Linked DNA regions of Macaca fascicularis. The protein of the gene in region 1 interacts with the protein of each later gene in a pairwise test. Links are inferred from orthologs where the notes say so. Each region holds a gene or a part of one and is shown on either strand. Other genes may lie near its edges. The genes, in order: HOMER1, ABI3 and C1H1orf116.

Region 1 (2,345 bases):
GGCGTGGTGGCTCACGCCTGTAATCCTAGAACTTTTGGAGGCTGAGGCAGGTGAATCACTGGAGGTCAAGAGTTCAAGACTGGCCTGGCTAACATGGTAAAACCCCGTCTCTACTAAAAATACAAAAATTAGCCAGGCGTGGTGGCACATGCCTGTAATCCCAGCTACTCTGGAGGCTGAGGCAGGAGAATGGCTTGAACCCAGGAGGTGGAGGTTGCAGTGAGCCAAGATTGCACCATTGCACTCCATCCTGGGGGACAGAGTGAGACTGCATCTCAAAAATCAACAACAACAAAAACAAAAGCAGTAATAACTTCTAAATAATTTTTAAGTGTACCAGAGTTTATTCTGTCAAAAAAAAATTGTTTAGTGTTTTTTTTTTTGTTGTCATGAACATTTGATTTCCTTTTATCATTTTTTTTTCCTTGGCTTGTAATATATTGGAACTGTTAACTTATAATTCTCTATTATGTATGGTTATTATGTATCTTCACTACAGTTTCTAGCAGCTGAGTGATACTCTCTACATATACATTTATTTGATATTGAGGCAAAGTAAAGAATAATTTACATATTCAGAGGATCCTAAAATCACATTTTAGAGAGTTAATTTCTTGTCTAAATCTTTCTCTAGAGTTGCCAGTAAACAGAAAAAGTTAATTTCTCTCTCTCTCTCTGCCTGCTTTCACCTGTGTTTGCTAATAATTATGCGTTAGGAGAAATAGGTGGACAGCAATAAAAATAATATCTAAGTGATCCATAAATAGGTCTTCAAGTCCGTTTTGGTATTTGAAGTACTTAGAGTGTTGCCTGGGACAAAGTAATGAGTCAGTAGATTTTTGTTGAGTAGTTAGATTGATTGATAACCAAGCCGGTCATTAAAACTGTATTGCTCTCTGGGATGGCCAAGTCTAAAATCTCCTTAAATTGTTCTAAATTAAGATTCTGAAGCTCATCCTGACTGTCAAACTGCATTGATTACCACAATATTGGTAATAACAGAGAGTTGTATTGTTTTCTGAGTGATGGATTGACATATATACATGTTACACTTTTGTTTCTGAAGGAAGTAGAAATTCGGAACAAAGACCTGGAGGGACAACTGTCTGACTTAGAGCAACGTCTGGAGAAAAGTCAGAATGAACAAGAAGCTTTTCGCAATAACCTGAAGACACTCTTAGAAATTCTGGATGGAAAAATATTTGAACTAACAGAATTACGAGATAACTTGGCCAAGCTACTAGAATGCAGCTAAGGAAAGTGAAATTTCAGTGCCAATTAATTAAAAGATACACTGTCTCTCTTCATAGGACTGTTTAGGCTCTGCATCAAGATTGCACACACACACACACACAAAAAAAAAAAAAAAAAAAAATTGAATATCACTCCTCCAGGAGGAGGATCTTTTGAAAATTGGAATTGTATATTTCACTGTAAATTTTAGAATCCAGCTTGTAGCTAGTTGGGGAAAAAAGAGATGAAAAACTTGAACTACAAATTACCTCCATGTATATTATTGGCCATAGTTAACTAGAAAGTTATAAATAGACACTTAATGCAATCTTTTTTCCTGATATTAGCCAATGGGAGAATTAACAATGTCTGGGTCACATCCCCTTTTTGTGTTCAACACAGTGAAGATTATCTGCTTTTTAAATTAATTTATTTACGATATCTAGAGCTGTGTTTTGTGCAAAAACTTAGTGATGAAAGCCTGTCTTTTGTTGTAATCTGAATAATTTCTCAGGATATTTTTGCACTGCTGAGAAGCAGTGCCATTACCAATTAATTCTTGCCAGGAGTGAGAGAGAGCTGTATCTTTAATTGAAATATACTATAACTGGGTGTATAGAGTTCTTCCCTTTTTTGTGCTGGAAGATATTTCACTCTGGTGACTACTCTGGTACACTCTGATGTTCTCTAATCTTGTCTGTTGTATAGTTTACTTTTCCATATTGATTCCATGTATTTATGAGAAGATACTGTCTCCCATTTTATTACACATTTTAAAGCCAACTAACGAAGGCAGCTGAGTCCCTCAGAAATTTTTCTTTTTAAATTTCTAATAAATTTGACACACAGTACTGAAATACAGCAGCCCGTCATTGACGGTCTGGTCTAGCAATGTTAAGTATATTTACAGAATATGCAGTTACATTTATTTATATATTTTGCAAGAAATCTTTTCTGAATGATCAATGCATTTCAATTTACGAATAATAATGGTTATTGGGGAACTGTTTATTATAGATAATTTTAAGGTGTATAGCTATTTTAAAGGGGATCCATTTACATCAAACAGCTGATCAGAGGACTCTATCTAAATTGTGATCGTGGCAGATAGA
Region 2 (4,177 bases), on another chromosome or scaffold:
CCACTGTTTCACCTTACGAAGTTCTGCTAGCTCACTCTTCATCCACTCATTCAATAAATATGTACTTGCTCACCATGCTGTGCCACTTAGTACTTGGGGCATGGCCACCTCTAATGCCTCTGTTCAAGCTTCTTTGCTGCCACACCTCCCTCTGAGTCCTGAATGTGGGTTCCTGAGCACAGGACCCACATTCTGTTTTTTTCTTGCTCTCCCCCAAGGACCACCCAAGGGCTATGCCATTTAACAGACATTGAGCTCCTGCTCTGGCTGACACCCATCCAATGACAAGGGACCCGCTGAAGGAGCAAAAGTTAAGGGACCAATATGGTCGGTGGGAGGTCCTCTTACTCTCCTGTCTCTAGGATGACAGGCTTGGTGGTAGGAGGGGCAGAGAGGAGGCCCGCGGTCCATCCTAACTTCCCTGCTCCAGGACCCAGTCCAACTCTCAGCTGGGAGCTCTAAGAGTTTGAAATCAGGACAGGATCCTGGACGTCGTCTGGTCCAAGTGTCCTGTTAATGCATGAACTACAGCCCATACCTCCTAGGCAGGCTCAGTGCTCTGTCCACCGCTGCTTCCTAAAACCAACAAATTGATCTGGAATTTGAACCTGGTGCTTCTCAAATCCAAGTCCTTCCTGTTGTCTAATCTGAGTTCCTCACATTACACTGGGTCAATTTCATCTCGTCCTGCCTTCATGAGCACAGAGCATGTAGGGCAGATCTTCATCACACACTACCCTTCGCAGGCTTACTAACACCCCTCTGGGACCTCTCTGGTCATGTCTTCCCGGTGTCCAACCCTGACCCCTCTTGCTGCCACATCGGCTGTTTTCTATTTTTGCTGTGCTGCCGTCCCACAGTCCTCTCTGGTATGACCAGTCTCCATATCCTATCCACCCTCCACTCCCCTGTCCCTTGGTGACTCATCCCCGAGCTTCCCAAGGAAGCCCCCACCCTCTGCCCTTTCCTCCCGCCTTCCATGAGTGGAAAATCCACCTCCACCCCCTATAGCAGGCCAGCCCCCTTCCTCCCCAGTCTCCCACCCCATCCCCCCACCAACCAGTTTCCTCTCCAGGACCAGGGAGCAATCACAGCTGCCCCGACCTTGGCTTCCTCTGCTGGGTGGGATTGGGGGCTGGGCCCCCAAATGGGCCCCTGGCTTCCCCCTTCCTCTGGGCAGGGGACAGAGAGGCACAGGCTCGGGGAGCAGGACTGACTTCCTCTTGTCCCGGAATGAGCATGCCTGCCCTTTGCAAGCAGGTTTGGGTCTCACGCAGAGGAAACCAAAAGCAGTAAGAGGGAGGGAAGGCAGAACAACCAATCAAGGGCAGGGTGAGACTCAAAACGAGCGGGCTCCCTGGGGAGCCAGACAGAGGCTGGGGGTGATGGCGGAGCTACAGCAGCTGCAGGAGTTTGAGATCCCCACGGGCCGGGAGGCTCTGAGGGGCAACCACAGTGCCCTGCTGCGGGTTGCTGACTACTGCGAGGACAACTATGTGCAGGTAGGTAGAGCGGGCGGAGGATTGACACCCCAGCCCCTGGAGGGCGGACCCTGAGCCCAGCCCCAAGTGGGGCCCTGGGAGCCATCCTGACAGGGCTTGTCTTGGGCCTTGGCTGAGAAATCCTCCCACTCCAGACTTCAGCTTCATCCCAGACCCCAATACTTAACTCTGACCCCATACTGCCCAAGCCCCCACTGTGCCCTTTCTGTCTCGCCTCAGAGATGTCTGGGACAGACAGTGCGATTCCATCCTGTTCTCAGATGTCACTGCAGGTTCATCCTTCTGAGTCCCCCAGGTTGATCCAGAGACCCAAAGCCTCCGTCCTCACACAGATGCTGGCGATCATTCTATTTCCAGGCCAGCTCTGGGTGACGCTTCAGAAGAACTTCCCAAACAGCACAGTGAACCTGAGATGGACCCTGAGTTTGGGAGAGTGGGGATAAGGCAGAGTAGGCTGGGCTAAAGAGAGGGGATCTCATGCAGAGGGAGGGGGATGGCCCACATGACTGCTGGGAGCAGGCTACTAGCAAAAGATAAGGAGGTAGCATTGTAGAACAGTTTTTAAATTGTGTGGTTGTCCTGGGGCTGAGAGTATAGATTCCTGGATTCAGGGAGGAGAGGCAAGGCAACTTAGCCATGATGGAAATCACTTCTGTTATTTCATTAATCTGTACAACTACCTTGTGAGACACGTATTATAATTCCTATTTTACACATGTGGAAACAGTAGCTCAGGGAGGTGAGGTGACTTGTCCAAGGCCGCACAGCTCCAAACAGCAGAGCCAGGCATTCCCGTATTTTTGCTCTTGTTGCCCAGGCTGGAGTGCAATGGCTCGATCTCGACTCACTATAACCTCCACCTTCCGGGTTCAAGAGATTCTCCTGCCTCAGCCTCCTGAGTAGCTGGAATTACAGGCATGTACCACCATGCCTGGCTAATTTTATATTTTTAGTAGAGACAGGGTTTTGCCATGTTGGTCAGTCTGGTCTCGAACTCCTGACACCTCAGGTGATCCACCTGCCTCGGCCTCCCAAAGTTCTGGGATTATAGGAGTGAGCCACCATGCCCGGCCAGTCTTTTTTTTTTTTTTTTTTTTCTTTTTTTGAGACAGGGTCTCCTCTGTCGCTCAGGCTAGAGTGCTGTGGCATGATCGTAGCTCACATAGCTTCACTGCAGCCTTGAACTCCTAGGCTCAAGCAATCCTCCCACCTCAGCCTTCTGAGTAGCTGGGACTACAGGCGCATGCCACCATGCCTGGCTAATTTTTTTTATTTTATTTTGTAAAGACAGGGTCTCCATATGTAGCCCAGGCTGGTCTTGAACTCCTGGCCTCAAGTGATCTGCCCACCTTGGTCTCCCAAAGTTCTGGGATTACAGGCGTAAGCCACCACATTTGGGCTTACCTGACTCCTGACGCCAAGCCCTTTCCTCTCCATCTTTCTGCCTCCCTACACGCTATGTGACTTTACGACAGTTTATTTGCACTCTCTGTACCCGGTTTCCTCTGCTCCCTGAAGAGCTGCAGGCTAACCTTGTTACCCCTTGGGCAAAACTTTATTTTTCTAACCTGTACTAACCGAACTATGAGAACAGGCATAGAGACCTCGTAGCATAGTAAGAATGTTGAAAAAAGAAATAAATGAGGAACAAGTGCTCATGGGAAATGGCAGATTAAAGAGAGTCAGTGATGACAGCAGTTAAAACTTTCTGGACCCTTCCTTTGGGCCAGGCATGTCACCAGCATGGCCTCCCTTCATCCTCATCTGAAGTCCAGTGAGGCGAGTCCCATTCTCACTTCACAATGAGGAAGCTGAGGTTTGGAAAGGTTAAGTCACTTTCCCAGAGGTCTCCTAGCTAGTGTCAGAGCCTGAATTCAAACCCAGAAATCTGATTCCAGAGCCCACTCCCTATGCCACTAACTGAAAATGCTACTCTGGGTATCATTTCGGTCTGTGTAGTTGTTGAATGACCACCTGCAGATGAGACAGAATGAGGCTTGCAAACCAACGCATCCTCCTAGCACAGAAAGGCATGTTCCCTCTACGGACAAGGATCCAAGCAGTCCTTTCCATTCCTTCCATAACTTCTGCACACCTCAAAGAGCTTCCGCAGGGCTCTCATTTGCACACACAGTGTTCACACACAATTTGGGGTCACAAAGACCTAAGTCCAGTTTCCAGCTCTGCCACCTACCAACTACAGGAACTGTGGCAAGTTCCTCCTCTGATTCTCATGCCTGCCTTCAGGGGTGGCTCCATGGGTTCAATATAAAAATGTATCAAAGCATTTAGCCTAGTGCCAGCCCCTTCAGAAGAGCAGGATAAATGGCAGCTCTTACCATGACTATCATCATCATTATCATTCATTGGAAAGATGGATAATAAGAATCAGTTCTAAGGAGGAGAAGCTGTCCTTGCAAAAATACATGGCGTGAGAAGCCTTGACCCAACTTGGAATCCTTGGATTCCTGCTTCTTTCATGCAGAACAATAACTACTAGAACACACAACCTGTTACCTTTCCTGGCCTTTCTGAGGATCTTTGTCTAGGCAAATGCCTAGGAAGTTTATGGATCTCAGAACTGCTGTTACCTAAGGCCTGATTCCCCTACCCTCCATCCCCATCTGCAGCCCCTCTCTCCCCACACCACCCAGATGCTAGGAAACCCATGGGGA
Region 3 (4,137 bases), on another chromosome or scaffold:
ACTTTCAGAGAAAATTGCTACCCTTGTGCTTCTAAGTATGCTTTAGACTTTACAGAGGTTTTCTAGTCTCTCCTTCCTACCAGCGAAGCCTATGACACTTTCGTTTCAGAACCTAGGATACCTTCAAGTAGCTGGAAGAGATAAAAGTGGTAGGAAAAGTACTGCTTCACAAGAACACAGCATGCCATAGCTTGCAAAGTGCTCTCAGATATGCTAATTAGATCTTCAGCATAAACTGGAAACATAGGCAGGATCTGACATTTTCTTCATTTTACAGGTGAGAAAGTTATGGCTCTTACCACTAGCCCTTCCTAAGGGACACAGGAAATGACCTATACTTGCATATACAGGACAGCCCTCCACGGGGCATCTCAGGGACTATCTGGATGCAAGAGGGGCATGCCCCTGAGAATGGTTACTAGTCACCCCTGACTAAAATACTAAAAGCCTTAAGACCCCCTTCTTCTTCTACTTCATACCTTAAACCCTACAAATGATCTGCTTCAGCTTTATACTTCCAGGCCGGTGTATTGCCCCAACAGCAGCTATTTCCACAGTAAAGAAATGACACCAACTGCCAAGGAAACTCATGTCTTTAGGGATTACATACTCCCTGCAGAGAGGAGTCTGAACCTGAAACCAAAGCTGAGTGAGGTGCTGTCACCTCATCTCCATACCTAGTTTTCTGACCTAAAAAATCTGAAAGGTGAAAGCTGCATTTCCTTTCACCGACTTCACAACCTTGAACGATGGGGGCTGTCTCAGGGCAGCCATCGAAACCCTGATAAGAAGACTGAGAAACAAACAAAACACTCAAGGTGAGAGTTTGGTATCTTTTAACCCTTGACCTCTTTGGGAACTTAATGGGAGGAGGGAATGGGTTAAGAAATATGTAGCACTTAAATAGTCAGGGCCATCCATCCTGAATTAAATATTAACTACTCCACTGACTAAAATACTAAATACTGCCAAGTCTTGGAGGAGAGGGAATAAAGAACAGGTGAAGTTCTGGCATCTGGAGAGGGTGGGGTGGAGAGAGGGCTCCAGCTCCGTTCCAGGTTGGCTTATCTGCACCTTCTAATCAGACCCAGGTCTCTCTCATCCTCCTCCTCCAACGAACTCACCCACATGTCCTCCAAGAGCTCTGCCTCTCTGCCTACTAGTCAAAGAGGTTTCCTATCTTTCAATCCAGGTGTCTCTGCTTCTTGTTGACTACCCAGAGATGTGCCTTGGGCTGGAAAATATCCTAAGAAAAATATCAGAAAGACTAAAACTTGCACAATGTGCATATCCGTCTCCATGAGCACATGGGCAAGTTTCTGTATGTGTTTAGGCAACATTATCATCTTCCTTTTCACCAGTAGATTTGAGGCAAGGAGCAGGGAGAAATACTCTCTGCATAGGAGAGCTTTGTTAGACACTGCTGGTGGTCTTTACTCCTAAGTTCACCATCTAGGGCAGCCCTCAGTCAGTGAGTGTGGGGTGCTGGCTCTGTGGTGTGAGGTAAGCTCAAGTCTGAATCTCCAGTTGTCAGGACTGGAAAACCCATATATTCACTCAGGACTGTGTGTGCCAGGCCCTTGAGCCTGGCACTGAGGTCTTCCCACTTCCCTCTTCTCTGCAGCAGGAGGGAAAGAATCAAAGTTAGGGACCAAAGGGTTAAACCCCCCAAGATGGATAATGGAGAGGCGACTTGCTACTCTGACTCGACTCCTACATCTGCCTTCCTTCTGCAGGTAAATCTGCCACACAAACTGCCAACTTGGACACCTGCAGGAAAACAAAACAAAGCCACCACCCTGGTCTGATTCTCTGTCTGTGGACTCTGCCACACTACCTTGGCCTGAGCCCCACTTGGAACTCTAACTAGACTTGACATGCAGCTGCGAAATATTCATGTAGGTGAGGCCCAGCACAGCCAAGTAGCTTTCTGTTTGCCAGTCTCTGCATCTATTAACAGGCAGAGTCAGAAAGTTAATTGAGTAGAACCCAAATAAACTTGGCTTTGCAGCTAGATTATCCATGGGTTTTCCAAAGATGAGCTGGTAGCTGGAGTTGAAGTTTTCCCCACATGCCCAAACCTTATATCCCTTTACAAACAACCTAGTGCAGCTCATGCCTAACACACCTGTCCACAGAGAGCTCCATTATCAAACGAGCATGATCAAACACACACACACACACTGCACCCATTATTTAAACAAAGATCGACACCGAGTTGGTAAAGCCACGGGAGAATTTCCGGTTATAATCGCGATGGAAAACCAAGATACTCTCCCCCGTTTTGACTCCCTCTATTTCAACTGTTATTTTCCAAAATCACAACTCAATTTCAATTGTTCAGAGATGGAAATTTCCAAAACAAATCTATTTTCTTTTTCGTGTTGTTTGCACAATATGCCTATCCAACCTAAGGAGGTAAATGAAAAAGAAGGTCCTCCCAGCCCCGGTCTCCACAAAAATACTACAATCTCAAGTCACTACCAACCTGATCTGACCCCAGAATGAACTCAGAGAATTGGGGAACAGATAGGAAAGCTCCCTAGCTTGGGTATAGAGGGACACCTTCCTTCCTCTGTAGTTCTGATTTCCCATGAAACCCCTTCCTCTTGCTGCAGGATAAGCAGTAGTTGGTTAGTGATTAACTCACCTCCACTGGGTTGGGGGCTGAAGACAGGAAAGAAATACCCTTTTATTTCAAAGGGCAGAGACGGAGACAGAGGCTGCTTCCCCTGCCTCCTACTGTTTTCTTCTCCTTTTGACCTCCTCCTGACTTACCTAGACAGGTAAATGCTTCATCTGTGCTGCCTGGCCCCCACCCTGCCACTGACTCAGCCAATCCTAGGCTCCCCTCCCTACCTCTCATTCCAGCTGTTTCCTCAGGGAGGGAATGGGAGGGGAATGAGCAGGGTGGTGCTGCTCCCTCTTAGCCAATCATCTCATGCCCTCCCCTTCCCTGTTTAGAGCTAATAAAGAGCTCTTTAAAAAAGGAGGGCTGGAAGGAGGAGGAGCTGGTTTGGGCTGAGACTGGAAGGACAGGTGGCAGGGAGGGAGCAGGCAGAGATAGTATATATATTTAATGTTGGTATAAAGGAACGCAGACAGTCCTCTGGGCAGTGTGCTTTTCCATAGGTCTACGTGAAATAGGTTTTTCATCTAGAACTACCTTCTTCCACTAGGAGATTAGTTTTCCCCTGAATTATCTAAGCTAAACTCATTTGTGGTCAGTTTTGCTGCTAGCTTTTCTAGCTGTTGAAAGTCACTTTCTTCCCCAAGCCTACTCCTAGCTCATAAGTCTGGCAATTCCATTCATGTTCACTTAGGAGGGTGTCCCAAGGCTAGGGTTGCTGTAGTTGGGCCAGTCTCGCCCCAGTGCTTGACAACAATCTCCTTGGCCTAATTTATTTCTGGGGAAATAAAACCATTCATCCCCTGAGAGGTCCCTATCCTGATGGAGGAGTGACTGGACAGCTTGAAAGGGGAGAGCATGCACTCTGTCATTTGGTCCTCTGCTCTCTTTTAGTTGTTCATGGAAGGTGGCAATACATATTATGAAATAAAAACAAAACAAACTTCTAACCAGTTTAGCAACTCCTACCTCCTTTCGTGGACTGACATTTGGCACTTGTAGGGAGAAGAGAGTAGGTAGAAGAATCTACTGCTTTTGGGAAGAAATCTCCCTCCAAGTACAGAGACCACTCTTATCAGATATGATTTTTGACTGGAAGCTGGTTTTTCCTAGAGGTTGGTTATCCTTGACACCTATCAGGATTTGAGGTATTCCACTTACTAGCATTAAAAGGGCAGGGAGAAAATTTAAAATCAATGTACACAATAATTGCCAAAATTTATTAGGTTCTTGCTATTTGCTAGGTATTGTGCTGAGCGTTTTCATGTATCTTAGTCTTTAGTCTTTAACTTAAAAAAGTAGACATTTATTAATATCTAAATTTTACAGGGAAGTTAAAAAACTTTTTCAAGGCCATGTAGCTAGGAAGAGGCAGGGTGGGGATTTTAATTCAGGCAATATAACATCAAGATTGCCATGAATCAGCATAATGCCAATCTGCCTCTGTTTTGGAGAGAATCTCAAGTGGAAATCATGAAATACACAGATAATTTGCAAGTGTAATTCTA

Evidence for each region.
Region 2: the proteins of HOMER1 (region 1) and ABI3 interact in binary tests that used the Homo sapiens proteins (3 or more experiments, as listed by UniProt). The two-hybrid records come from large-scale screens. The link is inferred for Macaca fascicularis from reciprocal best matches to the Homo sapiens genes HOMER1 and ABI3.
Region 3: the proteins of HOMER1 (region 1) and C1H1orf116 interact in binary tests that used the Homo sapiens proteins (3 or more experiments, as listed by UniProt). The link is inferred for Macaca fascicularis from reciprocal best matches to the Homo sapiens genes HOMER1 and C1orf116.

Annotation. Positions count from the first base shown.
Region 1 is NC_088380.1:83,351,138-83,353,482, reverse strand, and holds part of HOMER1 (homer protein homolog 1), read left to right. Parts: intron 1-1,066; coding exon 1,067-1,255; 3' UTR 1,256-2,345. UniProt on the Homo sapiens protein: Postsynaptic density scaffolding protein. Binds and cross-links cytoplasmic regions of GRM1, GRM5, ITPR1, DNM3, RYR1, RYR2, SHANK1 and SHANK3.
Region 2 is NC_088390.1:57,504,529-57,508,705, reverse strand, and holds the start of ABI3 (ABI gene family member 3), read left to right. Parts: upstream 1-1,367; 5' UTR 1,368-1,385; coding exon 1,386-1,502; intron 1,503-4,177. UniProt on the Homo sapiens protein: May inhibit tumor metastasis. In vitro, reduces cell motility.
Region 3 is NC_088375.1:64,856,931-64,861,067, forward strand, and holds the start of C1H1orf116 (specifically androgen-regulated gene protein), read right to left. Parts: upstream 2,834-4,137; 5' UTR 2,779-2,833; exon of another isoform or gene 2,651-2,778; intron 1-2,650. UniProt on the Homo sapiens protein: Putative androgen-specific receptor.